2 linked regions of the Macaca mulatta genome follow. The protein of the gene in region 1 interacts with the protein of each later gene in a pairwise test. Links are inferred from orthologs where the notes say so. Each region holds a gene or a part of one and is shown in the gene's direction. Other genes may lie near its edges.

What was found.
Region 2: the proteins of GMCL1 (region 1) and GLRX3 interact in a two-hybrid assay, tested with the Homo sapiens proteins (2 studies listed by BioGRID and IntAct). The two-hybrid records come from large-scale screens. The link is inferred for Macaca mulatta from reciprocal best matches to the Homo sapiens genes GMCL1 and GLRX3.

What each region holds. Positions count from the first base shown.
Region 1 is NC_133418.1:54,922,765-54,927,059, reverse strand, and holds the start of GMCL1 (germ cell-less protein-like 1), read left to right. Parts: upstream 1-1,480; 5' UTR 1,481-1,708; coding exon 1,709-1,968; intron 1,969-4,295. UniProt on the Homo sapiens protein: Possible function in spermatogenesis. Enhances the degradation of MDM2 and increases the amount of p53 probably by modulating the nucleocytoplasmic transport.
Region 2 is NC_133414.1:142,176,977-142,181,089, forward strand, and holds the start of GLRX3 (glutaredoxin-3), read left to right. Parts: upstream 1-1,313; 5' UTR 1,314-1,335; coding exon 1,336-1,427; intron 1,428-4,113. UniProt on the Homo sapiens protein: Together with BOLA2, acts as a cytosolic iron-sulfur (Fe-S) cluster assembly factor that facilitates [2Fe-2S] cluster insertion into a subset of cytosolic proteins.

The sequences.
Region 1 (4,295 bases):
GAATCCATTGCACATGATGTTCATTGCTGCTCTGTAAGGCCGTTAAAGTAGAAATAACCTCTCACGGCCGGGCGCGGTGGCTCACGCCTGTAATCCCAGCGCTTTGGGAGGCCGAGGCGGGCGGATCACAAGGTCAGGAGATCGAGACCACGGTGAAACCCCGTCTCTACTAAAAATACAAAAAATTAGCCGGGCGCGGTTGTGGGCGCCTGTAGTCCCAGCTACTCGGGAGGCTGAGGCAGGAGAATGGCGTGAACCCGGGAGGCGGAGCTTGCAGTGAGCCGAGATCGCGCCACTGCACTCCAGCCTGGGCGACAGAGCGAGACTCCGTCTCAAAAAAAAAAAAAAAAAGAAATAACCTCTTACTAAGGAATGTAAAAACAAATATGGTTCAGTCATTCAATGAGCAGTGAAAATTATCTAGCAATTGACCAAATGGACAAATCTCGAGAGTATAATTTTGAGAGGAGAAAGGTGCACAGTGAGAGGTACAGCTATGATTCCGTTCCATGATATGTCTAAACATGCAAAAGAAAATATGGGTACGCATATAAGGACATACATGGACATAATAATATACAACATTCTCAGCACAGTGATTGCCACTGGGGAGGGAGACAGAATGAGATGGAGGAGGTACACAGGGGCTTCTGCCTATCTGTATTGTTCTATTTAAAAAGAATGAATCATTGATTACACCTCAATAAAGCGGAGAGGAAAAAAAGAATGAAACCAAGTATGATAAAATTTCAAGCTAGTGGTGGGTCCACAGGAGAAATATTTTTATTATTTTACTTAAAAAGTAACAGAAGGGAGTCAGGGAGTGAACGCTCGCTGTCCGGAGTCCATCACAAGAGCAGCTCCTCCAGGCAGACACTTGTCAATTTTGCTAGGGCCTCCTGAAGGCACTTTTTTGAGTACGGACAGTCATGGTGCCAGACCCTATTCGGACATCCCACTGGCACTTGATAGGAAAGAAAAGGAGTGCCGGGAACGTTCCCATAACTTAACGGGTTCCTTTCACGTCTACAGCAGGGTAGGGCTCCAGTTAAGGAAGCCCAGGAATCCAGCATAGCGCCTCATCCTAGGGCCCCTCTCACAGGAGGCCACGCCCAACAAAGCAGAGCGCGGCCCCAGCAAGCGCCGAGCTCCCGCAAGGAGACCAAATAGCTTCGGGGTTTTGCCACTTGCTTAGCACAGGCCCATAAGCACCGGGGGCTCAAGGCACCTTTGTAGAAAGAATGCGCGACTGAAGTTCCAAGTCTTGCCACTACAAAGGCGTGTGTGAACTACGGCTTAACACTGCGTCTACGCCTAAGTTCACGTTAGTTGGAAGCCAGCCCCACCGCAAGCCCGAAAACACCCGCCCGTACGAGCACGCCGCGTTGTGCGCAGGCTCCACCTGCCACGCACGCACGCCTGCCTTGCCCCGCCCCTTCCGGAGGCTCGCCACACGCATGCGCCCGCCGGCGCGCGCTTTGTTACGAAAGCGAGGGGGCGAGGTTCTGCGGTGCTAGCGCGCGGAGCGACCAGAAGCTGCGGGCGGGGCGGAGGATGGAGGCTGTAGCGTCCGCTGCAACGGTTGGGGCTGCGCGTGAGAAGGTGGCGGTGTAGGCATCTGCGCTCGGGGAAGGCTGGCGGCGGCGGCCGGGCCATGGCGGGAGACCCCCTTCTCTGGGCTCCCTGAAGTCTCGGGGAGCCGTGACCCATGGGATCGTTGAGCAGCCGGGTGCTGCGCCAGCCTAGACGAGCCCTTGCCCAGCAGGCGCAGGGTGCCAGGGCGGGGGGCTCGGCCCGGAGGCCGGACACTGGAGACGATGCGGCGGGCCACGGCTTCTGTTACTGTCCGGGCAGCCACAAGCGCAAGCGGAGCAGCGGGGCCTTCTGCTACTGTCACCCTGACTCGGAGACGGATGAGGATGAGGAGGAGGGGGACGAGCAGCAGCGGCTCCTCAACACCCCTCGAAGGTACGTGGGGGCACGCACTCGCGCGGACCCGGACCCGCACCTGTTGGGCCTGGGGCCGAGCCGGCGCCCGGTGCGCTTGCGGGGTGCAGCGCTCCCCAGCCTATGAAGAGGGGTCGTGCCCTTGACAAGTGAATGTGGAAGCCGGCCCGATGCCGGGCGGACGGGGGAGCGCCTTGGGAGACGCCTGGTGTTCTGCATTTTTAACCACAGACGCTTCCAGGGTGTTGTTACAGCCCCAAGATGAGGATGAGAAACGCCAAGCCCGAGCTCGCGTCTCGTTAAACCTTAGAGACGCCCGGCTGGCTGGCCTTACCAGTCCACCTTTGCCCTCTCAAGTGGGTAGCCGCAGACTAAGTTGTTTTGCATCCGGTTGCTTTAGTACAGACACTAAATGTAATCTCTGAAATGGGCACTCTTACTGTCGCCCACTCAGTGGAGGGGAAATAATTGCACACAGGAGTTCTCGTTAATCGTAAAGGTGAAGTTTATCAATAGTGTACATTTGTTCCTAACCAGGAACAGAGTTTGTGCAAGTTTCTAGCAGTTGATGTCGTTGACCGTGGATGTACTGTATGTAGGGCGGTGCTGCTGCAGCTTGCTTAACTGTTTTTTTTTTTTTTTTTTTTTGATGAGTTGAAAGATGGAATATTGACTTGTGACCTGGAATTGGAATGTAGTTTATGGGTAGAATATATTCTTACACAAACAATTTGGTTTTTCTGCTTTTGTTTTTAAAGGTGATTTGGTAGGGTCACAGATGAAATTTTTTTAATGATTTCTTTTTCTTTTTTTCTTTTTTTTTTTTTTTTTTTGAGACGGAGTCTTGCTCTGTCGCCCAGGCTGGGGTGCAGTGGCCGGATCTCAGCTCACTGCAAGCTCCACCTCCCGGGTTTACGCCATTCTCCTGCCTCAGCCTCCCGAGTAGCTGGGACTACAGGCACCCGCCACCTCGCCTGGCTAGTTTTTTGTATTTTTTAGTAGAGACGGGGTTTCACCGTGTTAGCCAGGATGGTCTCGATCTCCTGACCTCGGGATCCGCCCATCTCGGCCTCCTAAAGTGCTGGGATTACAGGCTTGAGCCACCGTGCCCGGCCTCTTTTTCTTTTTTTATTTTTCAGACAGAGCCTTGCTCTGTCACCCAGGCCGGAGTGCAGTGGTGCGATCTCAACTCACTGCAACCTCCACTTCCTGGTTCAAGCGATTCTTGTGCCTCAGCCTCCCGAGTAGCTGGGACTACAGACACGCACCACCATGCCTGGCTAATGTTTTCTATTTTTAGTAGAGACAGGTTTCATCATGTTGGCCAAGCTTGTCTCAAACTCCCAACCTCAGGTGATCTGCTGGCCTCATCCTCCCAAAGTGCTGGAATTATAGGCGTGAGCCACTGCGCACCCAGCGTAAAATTAAACTTTATGAGCAGATTCAAAAAGGTTTTGCTATACAAGTGTTGCATATTGTAAAAAAGGAATCATAGATTAAAAACTCAATAGTTTGGTTTATAAAACCTTTTGTACCTTTTTTAATGAATATTTTTATTTATTTACAAAAATGGACCCCTACTGTGAATACTATTCAGTAACTTTTTTTGTTGTTTATTTGATTTTTGGAGTTTTTTTCTAAAGAGACAGGGGTCTCACTATATTGCCCAGGGTGGTCTCAAACACCTGGGCTGAAGCGACCCTCCCACCTCAGCCTCCCAAAGTGCTCAGATTACAGGTGTGAGCCACCATGCCTGACCCTGTAACCTTTTTGAAGAGTCAGTGTAGCATAGTTTTTTTTTTTTGGAAAATTTTTTTTCTTTTTTGAGACAGGGTCTCGCTCTGTCGCCCAGGCTGGAATGCAGTGGTGGGATCATGGCTCACTCCACCTCGACCTCACAGACTCAGGCAATTCTCCCACCTCAGCCTTCTGTGTAGCTGAGACCACAGGCATGCACCACCACACCCAGCTAATTTTTTTATTTGTAGAAACAAGGTCTCACTCTGTTGCCCACCCAGGCTGGCCTTGAACTCCTGGGTTCAAGTGATCCTCTTGCCTTGACCTCCCAAAGTGTTGGGATTACAGGTGTGAGCCACCGTTGCCAACCTGTGGCATAGTTTTAAGAGTTCAAATTCTGAGTTCTTGGCCAGGCGCAGTGGCTCATGCCTATAATCCCAGCACTTTGGGAGACTGAGGCAGACAGATCACCTGAGGTCAGGAGTTCAAAACCAGCCTGGCCAACATGGCGAAACTCTGTCTCTACTAAAAATATAAAAATTAACCAGGCGTGGTGGCGGGCGCCTGTAATCCCAGCTACTTGGTACGCTGAGGCAGAAGAATGGCTTGAA
Region 2 (4,113 bases), on another chromosome or scaffold:
CTGGGGTGCAGGGGAGGGTTCTGGGCTGGCTGTTGAGGTTTCCCTGGAGGTTGATGTCACTGGGGGAGTGGAGATTACTCAGGCCAGAAAGTGTGTGGGAAGCATGGCGATACAGAGTACGCCACATGGAGAGCCCAAATCAGGGGGATTCCCAAGGGAGAAAGACAAGCCAGGGACCACTTGAGGAGGCCAGGGAGGAGGAATGCAGGGATCTTGGACCCATGCCCCCAACCCAGTGGACCCACCCAGCAGAATCCATTGTTCTGAGGTTACAATGGGTGATGGCTTGGTGGGGCTGCAATGAGTGGTGGCAGGCGCGGAGGCCAGGGGAGGAGGGACATGCTGTGGGCTCCAGGTTCAGGTCTGAATTCAGGACTGAGTTGGAAGCACCGGGTCTGTGAAGTTCAAGATCTACCACTTCTGTTCCCAAACCTCCCAGTTCTTCCTCACCTTTATGCAATTTCATTTTTGATAATTTCAGCTTCCTAAATGTACACATCTGATTTCACTTTCACTCACGTCTCACCCCCACTCCTCCACCGGCCCCTTCTCACTATTGCAGACCCAGGAGACACAGGAAGTGCAAGGAAGGTCTGGAGCCCCAAAAGCCAGGAGCCTAAGGAGTCAAGTGCCCTGACAGCCAGGAACCCTGACAGCCAGGAGCCCCCACACCCAGGAACCCCAACAGCCAGAAGCCTCTACCACCAGGAGTACTGACAGCAAGGAACCCTGACACCCAGGAGCCCCTACTATAGCCAGAAAGCCAGGAACTCTAACACCCAGGAGCCCCTACAGCCAGGAACCCCGACATCCAGGGGTCCCGACAGCCAGAAGCCACTATAGCCAGGAGCGCCTACAGCCAGGAGCCCCTACAGCCAGGAACCCCGACATCCAGGGGTCCCGACAGCCAGGAGCCATTACAGCCAGGAACCCCTACAGCCAGGGGCCTGGACGGCCAGAAGCCACTATAGCCAGAAGCCCTTATAGGGCCAGGAGCACCTACAGCCAGGAGCCACTACAGCCAGGGAGCCCCGACAGCCCTGACAGCCAGGAACCATGACAGCCATGAACTCCGGAAGCCAGGAGGTCCGCAGCGGAGTGCCCAGACCTGGCAGGGTCAGAGCCCCTCAGCGGGATCCAGAGCCACCCAGCGGGATCCAGAGCCACCCAGCGGGATTCAGCGCCCGCGGCCGAGGCCCTTTCTGGGATTTCTCAGGCTCTGTAGCTTCAGCGCAGGCAGGGGCGGGGCTTTCCCTCGCGCAGCCGCTAAGCTCTCCGCGGCCCCGCCTACATCCGGCCGCCGGCACGCGATTGCTTCTGTCTGGCGGCGGCAGCATGGCGGCGGGGGCGGCTGAAGCAGCTGTAGCGGCGCTGGAGGAGGTCGGCTCAGCCGGGCAGTTTGAGGAGCTGCTGCGCCTCAAAGCCAAGTAAGCGAGGCGGCGAGTGGCAGGAGTGAGGAGCCGGCGGGAGAGGCCGCGAGACCGGGCCGGGAGTGGCCGCGAGACCGGGCCGGTGTGGGGCGGCGGGTGGCCCAGCCCGGCTCCTTGGCGCCCGGCTCGCTTCGGCCTCGGGGGACCGGGCCCGGCCCAACCGGGGATTCCCCCGAGCCTCCGGCGCTGACTGGCCCGAACCGCGGGCTCCCCGCCCCGGAACAGCGAGCAGGGCTCGAGGCTTTTCTCGCAGCCCCGGCCCCGGCCCTCGCTCCGACCCCGACGGCTGTCCAAGCCCGGGGGACGCGACCTTCCCGTCCTCTGGCCTGGGCGGCCCCGCAGCGGGACGGAGGCGGTGACTCAGCCTTGCCGCAGCGGCGGGGCGGGGGACGGGGCGGTGCCGAGACCCCGGCCCACCGCGCCACGGAGCGGGGACCCATGGCTGCGGGCTCCACCTTTCCTGTGCCCGCCGGGAGGGAGCTGCAGACCCGTCGTCGGCCCATTCCTCTTCAGCCTCCCTTCAGGAACGCCCCTGTCGCAGGAAGAGCGGCTGGGGAAGGCCCCGCTGCATTAGCTAGGCCTGGCTGCCTTTTGAAGTCAGCCTTTAAAGTTTGTTGGTCAGCAGGTAGCCTCAGTCTTCAGACCGAACCTGTTGCCGGAGACAGAGGTTTCCTGTTCCATGAACTGGTGTAGTGAGAGTCTGTTCAGATTTGGCACCGGTGTCAAGTCTTCCATCCCGGGAAGACAAAAGGAGATCCATAGGAATGCATAGAAAAAGTTTTCTGGGTGGACTAGAAGCTCTGAACTGCAAGCATGCTTACGAGTAAATGCTTACTGGCGTGCGTGTTTGCGGGGAAAGGTCTGCGCGTGGACTCCCCGTGGTAATACCACCTCACATTGTAGACTACTCCAAGGACTGAGTTGTTCTCTTAGTTGTATTAATAGCGGTTGCTACGGGAGCTCTTCTGTCGGATTGCCTGGGATCCAGTCCCACCGCAGCCACTCACTAGCCGTGTAACCCCTGGGCACATTTCATACCCAAGCCTCAGTTTCCCAACGATGAAATAGATCAGCACCTATTAGTACCTCAGGGTTGTTGTGAGGGTTAAATGAGATGACGTATGTAAAATACAATTAATACAATGCCTAGTATGCAGGAAACACTCAGTAGATGTTGGCCCTTAGGTAGGAAGCAGAGTGGTTCATGGAATTCACAGGCAAAATATACTTTGTTTTGTTTTGTTTTTGAGACAGGGTCTGGCTCAGTCACCTAGGCTGCAGTGTAGGGGAGTGATCACGGCTCCCTGCAGCCTCAGCCTCGCAGGCTCAAGTGATCCACCCACCTCATCCTCGCATCTTAGCCTCTCGAGTAGCTGGGACCACAGGTGCTCACCACCACGCCCGGCTAATTTTTATATTTTTTTTGTAGAGACGAGGTCTCTCCGCGTTGCCCAGCCTTGTCTCGACCTTCTGGACTCAAGCGATCTATCCTCCTCAGCCTACTAAAGGGTTGGGATTACAGGTGTGAGCTACCACATCTGGCCAAAAATGCTTATTGATCCAGATTTTGTTTTGTTTTGTTTTCAAAACAGGCTGTTGCTCTGTTGCCCAGGCTGAGTGCAGTGGCGTGATCTCGGCTCACTGCAGCCTCTACCTCCTGGGTTCAGGCGATCCTCCCACCACAGCCTCCTGAGTAGCTGGGACTACACGTGCGGTCCACCACGCTGGGCTAATTTGTGTATTTTTCGTAGAGACAGGGTTTCTTTTTTTTTTTTTTTTGAGACGGAGTCTTGCTCTGTCACCCAGGCTGGAGTGCAGTGGCCGGATCTCAGTTCACTGCAAGCTCCGCCTCCCGGGTTTACGCCATTCTCCTGCCTCAGCCTCCCGAGTAGCTGGGACTACAGGCGCCCGCCACCTAGCCCGGCTAAGTTTTTTTTTTTTTGTATTTTTAGTAGAGACGGGGTTTCACTGTGTTAGCCAGGATGGTCTCGATCTTCCGACCTCGTGATCCGCCCGTCTCGGCCTCCCAAAGTGCTGGGATTACAGGCTTGAGCCACCGCGCCCGGCGAGACAGGGTTTCTTCATGTTGCCCAGGCTGGTCTCTGGAACTCCTGAGCTCAAGTGATTCACCTGCCTCGGCCTTGTAAAGTATTGGGATTACAGGCTTGAGCCACCGTGACCAGCACTGTTGATCTAAATGGAGTGAAATTTTGCTGACTGAATTTGAATTAGAGGCAAGTAGTATACTCTGATTTTGCAATGGAGAGTGCAGGTGAGATGGGGTGTTGCCTTTGGAAAGGGGGAGGGGTGAGAGTTACTGACTAATGGTTAGAAATGCTTTATGGGGGTGATGAAATAACACAGCTCTTTAGGCATTTCAGGTTTACCTGGGAAATTGTTAAGGAAAAAAAGCAGGGGTTGTCGGGGGGACATGTGACATTTACTCACTGATGGAAGCTGGGCTCTGACTCATCCAGTACAGATCAGCACAATCACGGGAGTCACCAGAAGTGACCTCTTGAAATGAGCAGGTGGTCTTGTGTGGACCTGCCCTAAGTAAACGTTTTGAATTTACCATCACCTGAAAAGACTGTTTTGTCTATGTGTTTTATATGTTTGTTTTAAATGCTTCATGTTTTAAAAAGTCCTTAAACTATCAAAATGGATAAAAGTTTTTTTTTTT